Linked DNA regions of Caenorhabditis elegans. The protein of the gene in region 2 interacts with the protein of the main gene of each other region in a pairwise test. Each region holds a gene or a part of one and is shown on either strand. Other genes may lie near its edges. The genes, in order: unc-43 and syx-4.

Evidence for each region.
Region 1: the proteins of syx-4 (region 2) and unc-43 interact in binary tests that used the Caenorhabditis elegans proteins (3 or more experiments, as listed by UniProt).

Annotation. Positions count from the first base shown.
Region 1 is NC_003282.8:10,346,907-10,351,739, reverse strand, and holds the start of unc-43 (Calcium/calmodulin-dependent protein kinase type II), read left to right. Parts: upstream 1-1,522; coding exon 1,523-1,547; intron 1,548-2,768; exon of another isoform or gene 2,769-2,774; coding exon 2,775-2,855; intron 2,856-4,422; exon of another isoform or gene 4,423-4,443; intron 4,444-4,833. Other genes in the region: Y43C5B.2 (Tyrosine-protein kinase), read left to right, coding at 1-295. UniProt on the Caenorhabditis elegans protein: Acts in the signaling of a variety of pathways and processes. Phosphorylates 'Ser-319' of daf-16 in response to stress signals, such as heat, starvation and oxidation, which plays a role in prolonging lifespan.
Region 2 is NC_003282.8:8,455,214-8,459,523, reverse strand, and holds syx-4 (Putative syntaxin-4), read right to left. Parts: upstream 2,245-4,310; 5' UTR 2,244-2,244; coding exon 2,163-2,243; intron 2,069-2,162; coding exon 1,967-2,068; intron 1,740-1,966; coding exon 1,563-1,739; intron 1,417-1,562; coding exon 1,095-1,416; intron 896-1,094; coding exon 687-895; 3' UTR 591-686; downstream 1-590. Other genes in the region: ant-1.4 (ADP/ATP translocase), read left to right, coding at 1-297. UniProt on the Caenorhabditis elegans protein: Potentially involved in docking of synaptic vesicles at presynaptic active zones.

The DNA.
Region 1 (4,833 bases), 1.9 Mb from region 2:
GAAAGGAGGAAAGTCAGTTCAAGTGGCGATCAAGCAGGCGAAGCTCTCGAATCTCACAAAGGAGCAGATCAAAGAGTTCATGGGTGAAGCTCGTGTGATGCGTTCACTTTCACATCCCCATGTCGTTCGCTTTTATGGTGTGCCCCGTAGAAGAGTTAACGTTGCACTATGTCGGTCACTGAACGAGTTTCTTGCTAAATGTCACAGAAAATTGCGTTGCGCAACGCCTTTTTTTGTGTGTATGTCTGTGAATTGGCTCTCAGTGCTCAATGAGCTACGCGTTTTTCTTGAATAAAGGAAAGTTTTATGAACAGTTGATAATTTGAAATTTCAGTTTTATTTAAATATTTTTCCAACAACCTCGTTGTGTTTTCGAACATCAAAAATAATTTTTAAGATTCAGTCGAAGCTTTGTGCAACTTGTATTTAGGACATAATCTAAAATAGTTTTCCTCTCGAATCTCAGAGCTGTTGAAAAATATAATTAATTAATTTTGTACTATTTTGAATTAAAAAAACGCATTTTGGAAGATTTTGACTGCAGATATATGCAATTCAGAGTTAGATTTGAAGATGAAGCATCACAAACTGGAAAAGGCTTAATACCGCAAGTAGAGTTTTCACTTACTAATTTTTTACAAAATTTATTATTTACGTTCTAATCAACTTTTTTTTTTGAAAATTTTTCAGGTTCGAACCAGCAAAAATTCTCAAAATAACAAGACTTTGTTGTTGAAGTTTTGGCAATTTACCAAATTTTGACTGAAAGTTGTAAAGATTTAAATGGCGTTAGGAGCGTTTAATAATGATATTCAATTATGTTGGACTAAGTGTACAAAACTTTAAAAAAATTTGAAAGTATACATAGATTATTTCTAAAGAAGACGCCTATGAGTCTGTGGCAACGATATTTCAGAAGAACATTTTCAGACTCACAAGCTCTTTCGAAGCGTTTTTTAAGCGTTTTTCGAAAACAATACCAAGAAATGAATTACAAAATTTTTTTATTTAATGGTTTGTGTCTTCAATTAAAACACAGTTTTTTGAATAGATCAGATTCACCATGTCTGAATCCTTTAAAAAGTTCACTGCTTTTTGGGAATTTTTTTTGATAAATGAAAAAATATGCAAGAATCCAAAACCAAAGTTTTATACGGAGAAATGAAAATTTAAACTCAGAATAATCCGATAATTAGTCAAAATTCAACACATCATCGCCCCGCACTGTCTAGAAACCAGTTTCTCGTCTTCCATTTATTTTTCTTTTGAAAAAAGGCATTTTACGTACGTTTCGCCTTCTTTTTTCTCTCTTTTCAAAATCAAAGTTTTGTTATCGTAGTCAATTTTGTAGCATAGGACACAAAAAACACAGAAAAACTAGAGAAACATAGAGAAAACACACCGAGACCTACTCGTACGAAAGTTGAGAAATTGAAGAGTGAAATTAAATTGATTCTAATTGATTAGTAGTTACTGTCATTGTACCTATCTATCAACTTTCAAACTATAAATTATTGATTGAATGAGCAATTCTTCCACAAATTCAGGTTAGATTGTTTCTATTTTAATATTCCTATCTTCTAACAATTGAAAATATATATGATTCATGTTGACTGAGATTGATTGGTAGAAATAACAAAAAAAAGTTAGATAACATCGAACATAATTTGTTTGCATTCTTTGTTCTGCAGATTAGAACACAAAATTTATATCATGAAACTTTTTTTTAATTTGTAAGATAAGAAATGCGGGGTACATTCACACTGAAAACTGGAATTCCTTATTGATTTTTTTGAATAAGAAAAGTTTATTTTCGACTACGAGACTATTATTCAATAAGCCGTTAACATAGTCCCGAAAATTTTTACCTACATGCCTTCACCTACCTCGTACCTTCTTATCTATATTTTTCATTTCTAATTTTTAGAGTAATGCCTGTAAGAATTTAGAATTTTGTAAACATGGCCAAATATTATAATTACTAAACACTCTAATCATTTTTACTCAAAGTTTTGGTAGAGTGTCAAAATTTCAAAAGAAAAAGGTTTTTTTAACGACTGCCAGTTTTTGAAAAGGTTTACTATGAAATTTTGTATTAAAACATTGTCTAGTCTCAAACTAGAGTTTAGAACTCAATTAGATATTAGTCTAACTATATTATTCGAGTTGAGATCTACATGTGTGGGAAATTTCAAAACTTCAAAACTTGATTTTTTAAGTTCCCTCCTTGCCACTCGATTGTTTTGTGAAATTAATAGGAAAATTGATTAGAAAAAATGATTTTCTTGCATATTTCATCAAAAGTGCTGTGATTCCTTAGTAGTTCAGAGTTGCTGTAGCCTATAAGTTTTCCATGTTTGTTGCCAAGAAAACAGGTTTTTTTGGTGAAAAATAAGCTACATTAAAATCGAATAGGTCAGTTCCAAAACGAATGAACTCTGAAGATTGGAAATTGACCTCTCTTGCAATTAACCCATTAGCCAGAGACAAGCACAACACTCAAAAGTCAATCTAAATCTTACTTTCTGATTCATCCTTTTCCTTTACAATATATTCTGACTTCTGAATTCCAAAAGTTCAAAGAATACTCAAAAATTAACAAAAGTCGACCTGACATTTTGTAAGTGTCTATGTGTGCCAACAATTCGTCCGTTGAAATTTGAGAATTCGATCGTCGTCGTCGTCAGTCGAAGCCAGGCGACACATAACATTTTTTTTTCATTTTCATTTCTTCTTCAAAGAATTTAATAATATTAATCCATATTTTCTTTCAGAGGTCAATATAGATCAGAACAATCAATCAGACACGTTCAGGGAACATCCGGCAGTTACAGGCATTGCCAATCTTTCAAAAGGTATTCATTTTTCAATCTTTCAAATGTTTTCAAAGCATTTTAGAAAAATTTTGTTACAAATTTAGCAACTTAAGATAATAAATATGCGTAAATTTTTATTTTTTAAATACATTTTTAATTTGTTTTAAAAATTTTGAATTTACAGTCAAAAAGTGGACTCAGTTTTTATCTATAATAATTTTGGAAGTCGATCAAAAAACTCTATGAATTCCATACTTTATTCACGCTAGAGTTTAACAACTGTAGAGGCGGTGTGCGGCAAATTTTGAAATTTTCCGAGTTTGGCAAACTCGGCAAATTCTGCAAATTTACCGTGGTCGTCATACTCTCTAAATCGCAATATTTTTTTGAGCTCGAAAAGCGTCAAATTTAATGAAAAAATCTTGCAATTAGTTCACCGATTTTCGTTCGATTTTTGCCAAATGCTCATGTGTATATCTTGAATAAAAATGAAAGAAAAACGATTATTCTTTCATGAAGTTTCAGATCGAAACCATGCACAAATTTTTCATTAAAAATATTTTTTATGTGCGGTGAATGTCAAAATTTGCCAAGCTCGGCGAATTCGGCGAGTCTACATTTTTGAAATTAGCGATGCTCAGCAAACTCGGCAAATTCAGCAAATTTACCGCACACCCCTGTTGTAGATGTTGGAATCGCAAATAAACAAAACACTGTGATTTTAACAAAGGCAACATTTCGATTGAAACTATTTGAATTTTTGAGTGGTTTTATTGTGAAGAGTTTCAAAATTTGCATAATATATGAAGCTAATATTAATCAAGAGTGAAAATTCATAGAACAGCAAAACTGTTGATTTGCAAAATATTGATCCTACGAGTTTTTGATATTATTATAGAACATCAATAGAGAAGACCCTCCAGTTTTATATATTTTCCTGTTTCCACACCTCTTGAGACTTCTTCCTTTCGTTCATCCTCTTTTATCTCCATTTTCAAATATTGCTCTCTGTTTTGTTTTGACGAGAAGCTTCTCTTTTTCTCCCCTTTTCTCACAACCGCCTTTTTCGTTATAAGACTCCACCCATTTCTTATTCCCAACATCTTTTTTTCCTGACTACTCTGAACATCACATAGTCAGCTCACGGCTCGTCGTCGTCTTCTAATTAACATTTTGCTCACATAGAGATATATGTGTAAAGAATGTCTAACTTGAGTCGCTTATGAGAGCATAACTAACTAAATTAGACAAAGACACGGAGCAAAATGAGCACTAATTAACATTGTGAAGAAGCAAGAAAAAGAGACGATTACGGTAGTATAGAAATTGGAGAAATTGGAGAATAACAAGTAGCGTATGTTTTTCCACATACCCATCTATTGAACTTCTAACGAGACGAGGAGTTGCCTCTCATACGACTCATCGCTCACCTTCTTGGCCTACCGGCAGACGTGTGTCTAAAATTTAAAAAATCGTACCCAGCAGATTTTTTGAGTGATTTTTAGAAGTTTTGACACATTTCAATGTCAACTGGAACAAAATTGTTATATTTTCATATTTTTTACCATTTGAGAATATATCCAAATCGAAACTTTTGGATTCCAAAAATTCATACATTTTTGGGAAATTAAACCCTTTTTGCAGATTTGTACAGTATTTGAAAACTAGGTGGAAGTGGGATTAATATGATGAGTACTGCTAAATTGCAAAGTACATTCGATGCAGAATATATTGCAGACAGTTTTAATGTCAGAGATAGGAAAAGTTTTTTTTTAACTCAAAAGTAAGCCCAAACGTTCAGGCATATATGCAATTTCAAAATTGAATAAGAATTACGTGTCGCAAATTTTGCTCACAGCCTACATATACGATTACTTCGTATAGCAATTTCAGCAGGGCGAAGCGTAACGGGTCGCCTCGCGCTTGCCTCTACAGTTAATTTTGAACAGTCCACATTCTAAAATGATTCACTATATAAGTTAGTATTCTACATATCTCCTTCCTTCCAATCATCATC
Region 2 (4,310 bases):
ATGGTGTTCACTGCTGATGGCAAGAAACTCAACTTCTTCGCTGCCTGGGCTATTGCTCAAGTGGTTACTGTTGGATCTGGAATCCTCTCCTATCCATGGGATACTGTTCGTCGTCGCATGATGATGCAGTCTGGTCGCAAAGATGTTCTCTACAAGAATACTTTGGATTGTGCCGTCAAGATCATCAAAAACGAAGGAATGTCCGCCATGTTCAAGGGAGCCCTGTCAAATGTATTCCGTGGAACTGGTGGAGCACTCGTTCTTGCCATCTACGATGAAATCCAAAAGTTCATTTAATGATCTTCAATTGTTTTTGTATTTTTATTTAGTAAAATTATTTTAATTGAAATCGTTTTGTTACTCAAAAAGAGAAACTCTTTTCATGAAAAAATCAATGAACTACGGTCATTTTTGGTCTCTCTGAACAATGAGGAAACCAATGAGGAAAAACAATGTACTTATTTGATATTTAAAATAACCTACGATCTAGACTATTTCTCAATTTTATTTAATTACCAGTTAGTCAAAATTAGGGTTTCCATCAATTTAGCTCTGAAATTGAGCTTGTGAGCCAAAACTGTTCCGATATTGGCAGAAAAACGTTTATTCGTATAAATACTGTAGAAACTTGGAAAAATAATCGAAAAAAAATCACAAAAAATAGACCCGAAGGAATTAAAATAGCATTATTTCCAACCCGGGATGATTGCACCGAGGAAATGGGAGAGAAGGTAGACGACAACGAGCAGGAGCACGATCAGCGCGATGCACGTAACGATCTTCCATTTACGGTTCTTCCGACGCAGCACAACAGCCTGCCGCACGTTCTGCTGGGCTTGCTCCGCATATTCTTCGGCGCGTATCACGCTCGTCTCGATTCGGTCCACTGTTTCGCCTGAAAATTTAATACTTCGCGGTTTTTCAGGGAAGGTACTGAGCGCCTAGCAAAACTGGGACCTCTTGTTTTCGAAGATCTTAATCCTTTCTAATGCCCGCTAGATTTTGTAAAATTGGGAAAGAAAGAAAAGATTTTAGGGCAAGAGCTATGTGTATTAATTAAGCGAGTTTCAGTTAACAAAACATCAATAACTCACCTTGGCTTTGTACCAATAATTGCATATCCACAAAGAGTTCTTCGACCTCGCGAATTTGTTTCTCCAAAATCATAATATCCGTGGCGCGGTTTTTCATATCATCGAATAGTGCCTTCTTCTGCGCAACACCCAGATTAATGTTTCTCGTCAATTGAAAGAGGCTCCCGTTTTCGATGGCACCATCAATTTCCGAATCCGTCACCTCGATGTTCTGCTTTCGGAGGTATGCGGCAATCTTCTTTGCTGCCTCTGCTTTGTAGGAGGCTTGATCATCAGCAAACTGCGACATTATTCCTTCCAGCGAGACGATAAGCATTTGGATCTTAAAAATCAGGAATTAGCGGTTTCGGTTATTCATTTAAAATTTATGATTTTTTTTTCGAGAAAAGGTTGAAAAGAATTAAAATTAGTGTAAATTTGGTCACCGATTTTAGATCTAAGTTCGTTTATTTTCAGACAATTAAGCACCTGTTCGTGTCTTGCTCGCCCCGAGCCCACTCGACTCTCCGGATACTGTACCAGCTCCTCTGAGGCGTCAGCGAGCCGACGACGGATGCCACGTGCTTGAGCTATGAACTTATCCACGTGGTCGTTGAGTTTTCGGCACTTTGCTGTGTCCGAACAGCCGGCTGCCAGTGACTCTACCTGCAATTAGTGGTTTTTGGATGATTTGGCTAAAAGTCGAAAATTTTAATGTTTTGTTTTTTTGTTTTTTTTTGTTTTTTTTTTCGTGAAAGCTTTTAGTTAAAAACAAAGAAAAACATTAGTTTTCAATAAATATTTGATTTTCCGAATATTTTTAAAATTGGAATCAAACTTCGGATTTTTTGAGCATTATTTCTGATTTGTCACAGTTTCTTTTCTCTCTTTACCTGCTCCATGTAAATTGCGTGTCGATCTGCGCTCAGCGTAGTCAAGACATGACGAATTTCGTCGACATTCGCCAGAAATTGTTGCAATGAGACGTCTGCCAACTGAAAAAAAAACATTATTTTCAAGTTTTTGGAAAGAAAAATATAATTTATGTCAAAAATCTTCTTGTATATTAGTTGTTTCCATTTATTCTACCTTTGAATTGTTTTTCTCCGGACTTGCAGCGTTGATTCCAGAGATTTGGTGCATTTCGAATAGACGGTCCCGAGTAGCCATTCTGGAAATTTCGATTTTTACCAAAACAATCGAATTTTAGTGCGATACACGCAAATAGTGGTTTTTTAGGAAACGTTTTTTAGAAAGGCATTGAAATTTAAGCGAAGCTTGAGAAAAAAGAACAAAAATACGATTAAATTTAAAAAAAGTCAATTATGGTTTACGCTAAACAGGGCGCGCCTCCGGTATATCGGAGTCTCGTCGTACTGTAGTTTTGGCTTTAAAAAATTGAAATTTTTTATTTGACTTTTGTGAGATTTTTTGAACAAATATTTAAAGATTATGGAGCTTAAAGCAAAAAAAAAGCACAAAAATTGGAAAACAATTAAACTAGAATATTTTTGAACTTTCGGGAATTCTCCATTGCTCGTTTGTTCCCGACGAACCTCTCTCATTCCTTGGGTTGGTCCCTCGCGAAATCGACATTTGATTTTCCAGACATCTGAAATTTATTTTGCAATTTTTCCAAAAAAATATTTCCATATTTAAGCAAACCGTTTCAAAATTTTCTTCCAGATTATTTCAAATGTTCTTTGTACCATGTTGTTTATTTCAAATTTAAAGATAAGATGCACCTTTTCCTAACATCTGATGTTTTCGTTGACAAAACAAAACATGAATAAAGCAATGTTCCAAGTTGTCATGGACACCCACAATTAACAACAAAGAAAAATATAATAGAAGAGATAAGAGAGATAAATAGTGTTTACACCAGACAAAAGGTGTCATCACAGCTGGTTTGGGTGGCCTGTCGAGGACAAAATTTGCTGTGTCGACTCAAAATATTGGCTAGAAATAATTAAGATTATCTTCAAGTTGCTATTACTTCACATCACCTTGTTTCCAACCATGACAGTTCAAGTGGAAATAAAAAACAGAAACAAGCAACTTTTATACTTTTCCAATTAAAATTAAATTTACTCACCTGAAGATCTTCTCAAATAAATTTATTGAATTAATATGGTTAGTATTAGGTCTCCAAATAAGTTCCGGGTCAAAAATCATAACTTTGTTCGCTGCTTATCGATTTTTATGAAACTGTGGGAATTTATGTTATCAACCATGGTCTTTCATTTGAAAATAGTCACAAAAGTTTTTGACCACCCCAAGTGCACTAACTCGGAGCCAATTTTTTCAGGCATTTTTCTGATATCGCTTCTTTTCAGCTTTGAATTGAGGGTTGTGTGCGGATTTTGCTTTGTTAAGAATACATTATTAGAAAACGACAAAAGTTTGGAAAAAAATCCGTCCAAAAAAATTTTTTTGGTTGGTCGTCAAAAAATCTTCGAAAAAATTTTTTGTCGAAAATTCCTGATTTTTCCTACAAAAATGATGTAACCAAGTGTAAACTATTTTTACACATACAAAACATATCAGTTTAGTTCGAAACACTAAAATGGTAATAGAAAAAAATAATTTTTTCGGATAATTTTTGAGTTTTTTGAATATTTCTTGAGATTCAAACTTCAAACTCAAATGACTTTTATGTGTAAAAATAGTTTACACTTGGTTACATCATTTTTGTAGGAAAAATCAAGAATTTTCTCCAAATGCATTTGCGTCGCGCCTAGGCTCTATTCCATTCGACACCCTCTTCCCCCCAACTTGACCTCCAGGACTATGGCTGGTCCGGCTGGTCATTTCACTTATTTGTTCACACATCTGTTTCACACATCTCTACTTTTTTTTTATCTTCCGGTGTAACTCTTTCTTGTGACAAATAAACAATATTATTATTCGACAAAAAAATTTTTGAAGATTTTTTGATGACCAACCAAAAAAAATTTTTTTGGATGGATTTTTTCCAAACTTTTGTCGGTTTGTAATAATCTATTCTAAACAAAGCAAAATCCAAACACAACCCTCAATTCAAAGCTGAAAAGAACCGAGATCTGAAAAATGCCTGAAAAAATTGGCTCCGAGTTAGAACACTTGGGGTGGTCAAAAACTTTTGTGACTATTGTCAAATGAAAGATCATGGTTGGAACATAAATTCCCTCAGTTTCATAAAAATCGATACGCAGCGAACAAAGTTATGATTTTTGACCCGGAACTTATTTGGTGACC